3 linked regions of the Kluyveromyces lactis genome follow. The protein of the gene in region 1 purifies or fractionates together with the protein of each later gene. This does not show direct contact. Links are inferred from orthologs where the notes say so. Each region holds a gene or a part of one and is shown in the gene's direction. Other genes may lie near its edges.

Evidence for each region. Proteins that work in one complex are often made in the same cells at the same time.
Region 2: the proteins of BRE5 (region 1) and RPS15 purify together in Saccharomyces cerevisiae (affinity purification with mass spectrometry; 3 studies listed by BioGRID). This does not show direct contact. The link is inferred for Kluyveromyces lactis from reciprocal best matches to the Saccharomyces cerevisiae genes BRE5 and RPS15.
Region 3: the proteins of BRE5 (region 1) and YRA1 purify together in Saccharomyces cerevisiae (affinity purification with mass spectrometry; 3 studies listed by BioGRID). This does not show direct contact. The link is inferred for Kluyveromyces lactis from reciprocal best matches to the Saccharomyces cerevisiae genes BRE5 and YRA1.

The regions. Positions count from the first base shown.
Region 1 is NC_006039.1:1,666,493-1,670,451, reverse strand, and holds BRE5 (Bre5p), read left to right. Parts: upstream 1-1,656; coding exon 1,657-3,138; downstream 3,139-3,959. Other genes in the region: CCR4-NOT core DEDD family RNase subunit POP2, read left to right, coding at 1-805; OCA4 (Oca4p), read left to right, coding at 3,551-3,959. UniProt on the Saccharomyces cerevisiae protein: Has a role in de-ubiquitination. In conjunction with UBP3, cleaves ubiquitin, leading to the subsequent mono-ubiquitination of sec23.
Region 2 is NC_006042.1:739,161-741,856, reverse strand, and holds RPS15 (40S ribosomal protein uS19), read left to right. Parts: upstream 1-1,767; coding exon 1,768-2,196; downstream 2,197-2,696. Other genes in the region: RPP2A (ribosomal protein P2 alpha), read right to left, coding at 440-760. UniProt on the Saccharomyces cerevisiae protein: Component of the ribosome, a large ribonucleoprotein complex responsible for the synthesis of proteins in the cell.
Region 3 is NC_006041.1:255,145-259,363, forward strand, and holds YRA1 (RNA-binding protein YRA1), read left to right. Parts: upstream 1-1,814; coding exon 1,815-2,069; intron 2,070-3,305; coding exon 3,306-3,719; downstream 3,720-4,219. Other genes in the region: AFI1 (Afi1p), read right to left, coding at 1-973; COI1 (Coi1p), read right to left, coding at 4,152-4,219. UniProt on the Saccharomyces cerevisiae protein: RNA-binding RNA annealing protein. May have a role in pre-mRNA metabolism. Component the TREX complex, which operates in coupling transcription elongation to mRNA export.

The DNA.
Region 1 (3,959 bases):
CCGTAAAATGATCGAGCAATACAAAGTTATTTCTATAAGCACCGAGTTTGTCGGTACGATAGCGAGACCCATTGGGAATTTCCGCTCAAAGACAGATTACCATTACCAGACGATGAGATCCAACGTGGATCTACTAACCCCAATCCAGATTGGACTTTCGTTAAGCGATTTACAGGGGAATAAACCAGACAACTTCCCATCCACATGGCAATTCAACTTCCATTTCGACGTAACAAAGGAGACCGTGAATTCGGAATCGTTAGAACTATTAAAGAAATCCGGTGTCATCTTGGAGAGACATCAACAGAACGGTGTTGATTTCGACGAGTTTGCTCAGTTGATGATGGATTCCGGGTTATTGTTGAACGATGAGGTCACGTGGATCAGTTACCATGCAGCATACGATTACGGGTTCTTAATCAACAGGCTCATGAACACAAACATGCCCAACAACAAAGAGGACTTCGAATGGTGGGTTCAGAAATACATACCAACGTCGTACGATTTGAACCTAATTAACAAGTTAGTTCATGAGGTAACGCAACAACACCCACATCCACCACCATTACATCTATTACAAAGTCAACAGCAACAGCAACAAAACCAACAACAGCAATATACACTAGAACTACTGGCTGACGAGTTGGGGATTCCGATCTTCCCATTGTTCAGCAGCGCAGCGGGACAAAGTCTCTTGGCACTATTGGCATACACCCAACTCGGTAAATTGTCTTTGTACAAACTACGCAATGGAACAGATTTCAGTTACTACAAGAACCTGATCTACGGAATCACACAGGAGTAATATATGTGATTTTTATGTGCCAGCCTTTCATATAGAGTATCATCAATAATGCATTTATGTATGTGAATATATATATATACATACACAATCATTCTTAAAATAGGGTATAAAAGGTGGCTGACTAGCCACCGTCACTGAACTGAACTGATGCTGACCAGTGCGAAACCCACAGGTTGCAAGAGCGCAACCTGTGTACTTCATTCACCTGGCATCTCGTGAGGCATGATTTCATAAGATGATTGACGAGTTTTCCATTAAAAAATTTTGAAAATTGACTCTTTACATATAATCACTAGATGCAAACATGCACATACTTTGCTTGTGAGGGGCGTTTCTTGTTGTTAGGGTGTCTATTTGGTTCGCTTATCGGTTTTCATGCATTCATTAGAAACCAGACTTTAATCTTTAGCGATAAGTTTGAAGCGTGAGGCACATATACGGTGTTCGTAGTGCTGAAATTTCCCGTGAGTCTGGAAAAAAGCACCCATAGGAAATTAATACTTTTTTGTTATTGTATTCTAGTATACCCTATACTTTCCTGCTTGAATATCCACCGTTAATACACTTGGATTAAAACGTTGTTAGAGCGTTATTAGAGCGTGCTTTTCCCTTCTTTTTTTTTTTTTTGTTTGACAGTTTTATTTTTAATTCATTCAAAGGTCTTTCTGATTGACAACGATTGACTGTATTGCATTCATTTCATACACTTTAGCATTCCAATTTGATTTTTTGATACCCGCGATCGGTTTGAAATTGAGAGTTATCAAAGAATAGTTGAATTCTTTTACAAGAACCAGTGTGTTTTTTCCTGTTTAGATTAATTTGATACAATCACATTTGGTTTGGAAAATATGACCACTTACGATGTGAAAGAGATCGGATATGCGTTCCTAAGGACGTACTATGAACGTATGCATAATGATCCATCGAAATTGTCGTGTTTATATTCTACCACGGCGGAATTGACCCATGTGAATTATAATGAACCTATCAAGCATGACAAAGATTATTTAAACACCGTCAAGTTGATTGGTAAGGATAACATCAACAATTTCTTTACCAGAAACAGCAAGCGTGTACAGGATTTGAAGGTCAAGATTGATTCGTGTGATGTGCAATCTACTGGGTACGAGAGTTCTTCGATTCTGATATTGATATTAGGGGAGCTATGCTGGACGGATTCACCATCTTACAGATTTTGTCAGTGCTTTATCCTGGAACCAGCAGAGTATAACAGTAAAGTCTACGATTTGAAAAACGATATCATTCGTTTCATTCCTGACCTTGCTCCATTAGTGAACCCAGACCAGCCAGTATCACCACCATCTGCTGTTGTTGTTGAAGCTGAGAATGAGAAGCCAAATGTCAACGGGGACGCAGCTCCTGTTTCTGTTCCTGTATCTGTTTCTCCAGTAGTGGTAAAGGCAGCAGCGAAACCGGTTGAGATTGTCAAGCCAATTCCAACTGAGAAGCAACAGCCCTCTACTGCTCCAACGGAAACAAAAGTGGAACAACCCCAAGCCGTTTCAGTAAATAAAACTAAACCTAAGGAAAATGAGGCGATTGCGCCAGCTACTGCTCCTGCTGCTATTGCAGAAAAAGAAAAAGAAGACAAGGAAGACGAAGCACAAGCACAACCAAAAGAGCAAGCGACTTCAGCATCAGCCACCCCAACCTCAACGACAACCCGTTCTGAATCGGTGCCCCCACAAGAGGTTCCTGAAACAGAAGTCACCCCAAAGGCTGAACCAGTGAAAATGACTTGGGCAGGCAAACTCAACAAGACATCTAAACTAACTACAAACTACATCAAGGTAGATCTTCCACAAAAGAAGTCTAAAAGTCCACCTCCAAACGGATTCACCAAGTCAAACAAGAAAAGCAAGCAGCAATCGAAACCAATAGGCGACGTTATCATCCAAAACAGCAGCGGTTTCTACCCAGTATACGTGGGTAACACAAATGGGTTGACCGCATCCGAACTTGAAAGAGCTCTAATAAAAGAATACGGTGATGTCGTAAAAACCTCATTCCAAGATTCGTTCGCTGTGGTTGATTTCAGAGAAAAACCTGCAAGAGACGCTGCCATCGATGCTCAACATTTAAAAGTCGGTGAAAGAGTTATTAATTTAAACCCAAAGGGCGATAAAGCTTCTAAGTACAAAGCCAAGAACAACAGCAACAATAGTAATAGTAATTCTGGTAACACTAATCACAACACAAACGGCAACAGTTCACATAATTCCCCATCACCAGAACTCTCGTTAAACCAAGGTAATTCCACGCTTAAAAAGAGCTCAGTGAAATCCCGTAATGACAAATCAAAGAACTAATCTCATGTACTTTAATCGTAAACCCAAATCATCTCAAACCTAAATGAAAGGCGTGATAAAACCATATTATAAAAAAAAAAACCATAAAAAAAATTAACTAAAACGATGAAACTATGAGTCGGGGAAAACTTGTTAAATATATCCGTATGTAACCTATCCACATGTACATTTTATATATTTCCCTCTCACTATAAGCATATCACCGAAACATTATTGTTGTCTTCCCTTTTTGTTCCTTCTTTCTCTAAGTCACAACCCTTTGAAGTTGGTTCGAGCTTGATGAAATTTAAAGGAACAAAGATCTTCATGTGCACATCACAATGATAGAAAAGGTGATTGGCAGAAAGATCAGTGCTGAAGCCAAGGGGACAGGTGAGGAGATACAACTCTAGGGTCATAGAAACCATCAGCTATGTTAGTTCCTCCAGCGAATTTCGGGATTCCCGAGGAAGGTATCTATCGATGCAGTAAACTTGAGACCATTAACCTATCATTTTTGGAGACTTTGAATTTAAATACGATCATATTCATCGGTGGTCAAATCCCGAGTAATTTCTTCAAAGAGTTCTTCGCCACTAACGGCATAGATTACTTTGTCATTAAGACCTCTGGTGATTCGAGTTCTTTGGTAGCCCCAGATCACAAAAAGCGTCAATCTTCTGCGAATCATGGTGAGACGAGACGGAAGAGTCTTTGTGATAACTGTCACTACAGTTACACACTCACGGACCAAGACGATTTGATGCTAATCAAGAGTCAGAGCATCCGGCGAATATTCCGGATACTGTTAGATGTCTCGTACCATAACGTATTGTTAGTGG
Region 2 (2,696 bases), on another chromosome or scaffold:
TACAACTCAATTGTATATTGTCAGCCATTACAGACAGTAGGACAGCGCCGATTATATTTTGAGTAAAATCACTGAGTAGTAATGTTTTTATTATTATCAGATATAGATCCTGTATACTGGTTTGATGTAGTTGTACATGAATAGTAAGCATTGATAATGGGCAATGGATAGTACATAGGTATCCTTACAAAAAAATGCAAAGAATTCCCACCTTTTGATTTATTCTGTTCCCGTTGAATGCAAATGCTGAGCGTGTGTGAGGAACGGTTTGTATGAGGTTTGAAACGTTAAACGTAGAATAATAAAAGAATAGATAGAAAAATTAGAACAACCATAACATCCATTATGTGAAAGTTATTGCTGGTTTAGCCTTGCAAAAATTTCAGGATATCAAAAGTTCTTGTTCATTATTGTGTAAGTCCCTTTAAAATTGATTTGTTTAATCGAATAGACCGAAACCCATGTCGTCATCAGATTCTTCCTTTTCGGATTCTGGAGCTTCTTCAGCAGCAGCTTCGGAAGCACCGGAAGCAGCAGCACCAGAGGCAGCAGCACCAGAAGAAGCTGGGACAGAGGCCAACTTTTCGGTACCTTCAGCGATAAGTTCTTCAACAGACTTACCTTCCAAAGCGGACAACAAAGAAGAAACCTTTTCTTCTTCAACTTCGATTCCAACGGATTCTAAAACAGCCTTGACATTGTCAGAGGATGGGGTGTTGCCAGCGGCGTTTAATAACAAGTAAGCGGCCAAGTACTTCATCTTTAAGCGTTCAATATTTGTCGAGGTTTCTGGGGAGAATTACGTGAACTATACCAAGAATTAAACAGTATTATGCCTTTAACAATTAAAATATAAAGGCACTTAAACCTTAAACGTGTATTGTAAACCTCTAATCAATTGACAAAAATGTTGAAGATTCGTCAAGGTAGAGAGAATTACCGGGCGCCATTGGAAAGCGTTGAAGCTTTCCACTGTGAGAGTACTAACTCTCGCACTGATTCCATCGAATTGCAGATTGGGAACCAGATTCCTCGATTTTCCAGTGCTAAAGAAAATCAGTGGAATTGGTCGCCTAGATGTTTTCCTTTTTCGGACGAAAAACTTAAAAGATATGGATGGTAAGAAAACAACAAAGTGCGGTGTACATATAGTAATAGGATTTAAACGCATTTTTATATGTGGTGTATTGTGGTAACAGTCCCTTATTTTCATTTTGAGTCTCACCACTTACTAATTTTTTCGCACCGAACTTACAATCTGTAGGCAGACTCGCCAATTTCCTCCTACGCTCCGGTTCCACTCCCTCCCTGTTCTCCACCCTGTTGGGTACACGGAGTGCAAGCTTACTGGCCTGCCTACCGGTAGCAAAGCTTCCTGCCTAACCTTACCGTCTCCCCCGTCCAACCCATGCTTCCAGCTGGGAATAGGGCCCATCTTCTCCTCCGCTATTGTCTCTGCGAACAGCTTGGTTCCCTAGTATGGGTCCTACCATTGAATGATTTTTTTGGTGAACTTTTCAGAATCATTGCGAAGTTTGAGGATATCGACCTTTTTCACCAATACGAACAATCTCAGTTTGAATTTAATGCTTTTTTTGATAGTTACAGCTTTTGTTGATTTCACATAGAGATTTTAGTTGATATTGCAATTCATTTCACGTATTCTTTTTATAATAGAAGGTTTCAATAGAGCTTGGTTTAATTTTCCTTTTCCTTTTTGTTGTTTAGCTTAACTCACCGAACCATACAATAAGAAAGCAAGCCAACATGTCTGAAGCCGCTGCTCCAAGAAAGAGATCCTTCAAGACCTACTCTTACAAGGGTGTTGACCTAGAAAAGTTGTTGGAAATGCCAACTGAAGACTTCGTTAAGTTGGCCCCAGCCAGAGTTAGAAGAAAGTTCGCTCGTGGTTTGTCTGAAAAGCCAGCTGGTTTGATGAAGAAGTTGAGAGCTGCTAAATTGTCTGCTCCAGAAAATGAAAAGCCAGCTGTTGTCAGAACTCACTTGAGAAACATGATCATCGTTCCAGAAATGATTGGTTCTGTTGTTGGTGTTTACAACGGTAAGGTCTTCAACCAAGTCGAAATCAGACCTGAAATGGTCGGTCACTACTTGGGTGAATTCTCTATCACCTACACTCCAGTTAGACATGGTAGAGCTGGTGCCACCACCTCTCGTTTCATCCCATTGAGATAAACTACTTTATTGATAAGAACTATTGCAAGAACTCCAAGAAAAAATTTCCCCTTGACAAAATACGCTTCTCTGTTTTTTTTTTGAAGTTCGGACACTTAAGAAGTTTTGGGCATTGATATAGTATCCAGATTCCCTCGTATTATCATGTGGTACCGAATTTTAAATCTGCGATTATATCAATGATATACGCAGAATTATTCCAGAAAACTTAAAAATTGATCCAGTTGTCATCCTCAAATGCCCTTTTAATTTGGACATCAAATCATGATATCGATCCCTTTGTTTCTTATAGAAAAATATCATCGGGTTGGATACGGTTTATTATAAGTTTTATTTCTATCCTGGTGTCTTAATAAAATAAAGATATTTCGCTTCACATTGGAATCTGACCAATTCATCACAACCTTTCCTCACTTCACAAGGACTACTATTTTTGGGGTTTCTTTCTCATCTTTTTATTATTTACGCTTTTATCTCTACCAACGTCCAACAAATGTTTA
Region 3 (4,219 bases), on another chromosome or scaffold:
TTGAATTATTATAATTCGTATCTATTTTTATGGCATCATATTTTATTAGATCAATTTGCAAAGGAATCCTCGTAAAATAAGCAGGTAGAACTTTGGGACGGAAAGTAGAGAACTTATATTCAAGAATCCTGTTTTTAAATTGAATCTCATTTCCGAACTTGTCTTTTTTGGGCAGCTCATTAACCCTAAGTATATTGGGCAAAGAGTTTTCGTTTGCATCAAATATTTTGGATGTAATTTCTTCGTCATTGATAGAGTTTAGAATATTTTGTAGTACAACATTGGAATGGAATCTTATGACCAAAGAGAGATCAAGACTGTTAATCATGTCAAAACAGTCTATAAGTATTTTAATATCGTTGTTATTCGATGTCATGTAGTGATCAAGCACCATTGTTAACAATGGTTTAAATGTGTAAAAGTTTGTCATAGTAGTACCCAGTGCAATGGCTTTTATATAAGCACCGCGATCATTTGAATTATCTAAAAACGTGTTCACGACACTTAAGAAAAATAATGGTGGCTCAGTTTCCTCTAAATGCCTATCATCTCTAATTGATCCAATCTTACCACTTCGCAGTCCATTTTCTTGTTCTTCTTCAAAGTCTTCCTCTTCAATTATCAGTGAGGAATCCAAGTCAGTACCTTTAGTCTTATTTTTGGATACAGGAAACAACTGGTAAACGTTTTGATTCTTGTATAAGACAAAAACAGTGAAATCTGGTTTACCTGGATGGTTCTCCACACTATTCGGTATCATCAAACTGGCCAAATGAGAACAAGTGGAATCACTCCCAATAGTTTTAAAACCAGGGATTGTCTTTGGATATTGATGCTTTATTATCGGCCCAGATTTGTTATCAAATTCTGCCGCTATTATAAATTGAACATTGGGGTTAGAGTGTGTGTGTTCATTTTGAGATTGTCGTAGGTGAAAGTTCAATCCTGTTTTTACCTTGGAAGAGTGTTTCATAACTGGTGAACGCGCGGTCTTTCCTCTTTAATTACAGAGTCAGTCCGTTTACCACCTGACCGTCGTTCGGAGATTTAACTTGCCAGTGAGACGTCTGTATCATTTCGCTGTAAAATAGCACGATTTTGACCCATCATCGTCTTTCTTTTTGAACCGATCAAATAAAATGAACCAAATAATATCGCTAACAGTGAAATAATCATGAAATTACCCGGACTGTAAATGGATTCAATTCGGCTTCTATTCGCTTATGACAGGAAGGCATAGAAGAATGTTTGGATACTAAGCGTTGTAAGATTCCCGCCACAGCCTACTTGGGTCTATCTGCGGAAGCGATCCATTTGAACATAAGATTGATCGAATAGCTGTCTATCTTATATATCAACGGATTTTACTTTTCAGTTGTTGCGGCCTTACAATTCACGAAATAAAGCTAAACGATGTTTGTTGGAAACAAATGAGTCCCCTCGACGAAATTATGGAGCATTATCTTTAGTCTTTGAAATGACTGTTATTCACAAAAATCTTTATCATGTCAGGAATGAAGTAAGTACACCGTTACATATGCAGCAGATCTTAGAAAATGACAATCGTTACCCTCTTTTGTTGATCGTGCTGGTTTTGATTTTCTTGAAAAGAATTGGACAAAAAGTTTGATATTTGATTTTTTTTGTATAAAAGGAGCCATAGATTTTTGCCCATTGGAATTTTTTTCCCTTTTTCCATGAAAGTTGTTCTTCAAATTTCTCTTTGTTTCTACTTCATAAGGCAAGCAACTTTATAAGTTATTTCCTTCGAATCAGCTACCCATCAGATTCTTTTTTTTACACTCTCATAAGCAATGTCTGCTCTAGATCAATCATTAGATGAAATTATTGGCTCAGCCAAGCATGCCAGAAGAAACAACAAGGCCGGGCCAAAGAAGGTTTCTAAGCAAGTCAACAAGAGCCGTACCAGAACAGGTGCCGGTCCTTCTAGAGTTCCAAAGAAGGCTGCTTCTGCTGCTGCCCTAGTGCCAGCTTTGCTAAGAGCTCCTATTTCTACTAGAGTTAATGTCGAGGGTTTGCCAAGAGACATTAACCAAGACGCTGTTAAAGTATGTCCCATTTTAGCCATGGCCTCTTAGTAGGTTCTTTTCTAATGAAAAGGACTGTCGAGATGCTACTGTACTGATTGCGAAAACAAATCGGATCAAACTGCAATAAGACTTGCGGTTAATTTAAGTTTACAACGGATATATCCTGTGGAATTCCATCCTTATGTTTACTATACGATCATACATTCCCGTGTATTTGATTAAGAAGAAACGGTCGATCGATACCTTTTTTGAGGTCTGATATTGATGTGTGAATAATTTATTTCAGAGTTAGTTTTTATTGAGCTAATGAAATATAACAAAACGAAATTAGCTATCCAATTGGCTGGGTTTCGCTTTTCAGCAAGCCTTCCTTTGTGATTTCTTTCCGTTTTTCTCCTCTAAGTTGACAGAACTTTTCATCAAAATTATGCACTGAACTTCGTTTATTTACGACATTTTATTTGATGGAGAAACGGTAGTGAATCACGATTGGGAAATGCCGAAAAGATGAAGTATATCTATTTTTTCTCGTCATATCTTCTATTCTTGTGACATTATGTGTCACTGGAGTTTCTGTTACCATTTATTACATTTGGCAATGCATCTATTTTTTAATGATGCCCAGTGTATTATTCTCTTTTTTCTAACTCTTTGCAAAGAACTGGGAATTTGAAGAAGATTACTTGGTGTACACCTTGTAGGAACAATTAAGTTTGACCTCTTCCTTGGTGTGTGTTTAGCTTGATGCCTCAATCTTCAAGATAGTGCGACATTTTTAGCAAGGTCGTCGTGTTTGACAACTTCAAAAAAATTGGCAAAAATTGAAACGCCACTGAAAAGCAAGTTTCAATGAATGTAATAAATCGAGATGGGTATGCTGGATTTGAAATCGATTTTCATTTGTCATTCTGCTATGAACATGTTCTATCTTGTCTGGTTGAGATCTCATCACTGACTCCAGATTTACTCTCCAAGAAAAAAAATAGAAAAGAGAAAAGTTATAGTATACTTACTTTTTGTTGGTTGTCATGTTAGATCCTACCTTCAAATCGAAACCTAATGAAACCCATTTGTGGTATATTTTACTGTTTAAGAGTTAACTTCATATCGTGACAGAATTGACCGGGTCGTACATGTATGATGAATTGTAAACATGAATGATTTCCTACAGGACTATTCATTGAAGACTCCGCTGTTTTCAGTTATCTATGAATAGTTTCACTAACAAAAATTTTGCTCCCTTATTATTACTAGGAATTTTTCAACCATCAAGTCGGTGGTGTCCAAAAAGCTTTGTTGAGTTACAACGAAAGGGGTAACTCCACTGGTATGGCCACTATTACCTTTAAGAACGCAGAACAAGCTAACTTAGCTGTAAAGAAATTCCACAACGCACCAATTGATGGTGGTAAATCCAAATTGAGATTGACGTTGATTGTCGATCCAAGCAGAAAGACATTATTGGACAGAATCCGCCCTGTACAGAATGCTCAGGCTGCCGCGCCAAACAAGAAGGCAGCTCCAACAAAGCCTCAACCTAAGAAGAAACCAGCCGGTCCAAACAAGAAAGCCATTGCTGCTAAGCAAAAGAAAAGAGCTAAGCCAGAAAAGAAGTCTTTGGAAGACTTAGACAAGGAAATGGCTGACTATTTTGAAGAATCCAAATAAGATATTGCGTTCTTGAAATTACTGGACTGAGAAATTATAAAGTCTTCCTTAATAACGAACGGATTGTCTCTGCTTTCGAATCTATTCGTTAGACATCCTAGAAGTTCAGTTCATTTGTTGTTTGTTTTATATTCCTCAATTTCAACCGGTGTGACTGCGTGGTTTCTCAATCAAAAAAATCCGTATCTTTCTTATGTGCTCGGCCTATCTTTTCTTACCTAGCTAAACTTTATTATAATATTGATATCAATAGTTTGTATTTTATTTCACTTTCTTTAAGCACTATTTACATGAGGAATCTTTCAGTAAAGAACAGGATATATTTCTAGATTGTTTCATTTAGTCATTGCAGTGTTTGTGTGTGTTGTTAATAAATAAGTGTGATGGGTAGGTTCGTGTATTGCCTTGCAGAATTAAAATCTTGCTTATTAATCATTCGTTACTTCTTCTATCCAAGAACCCTAATCTATCACCACGCTTTCTTGTATTGTAGGATAAAC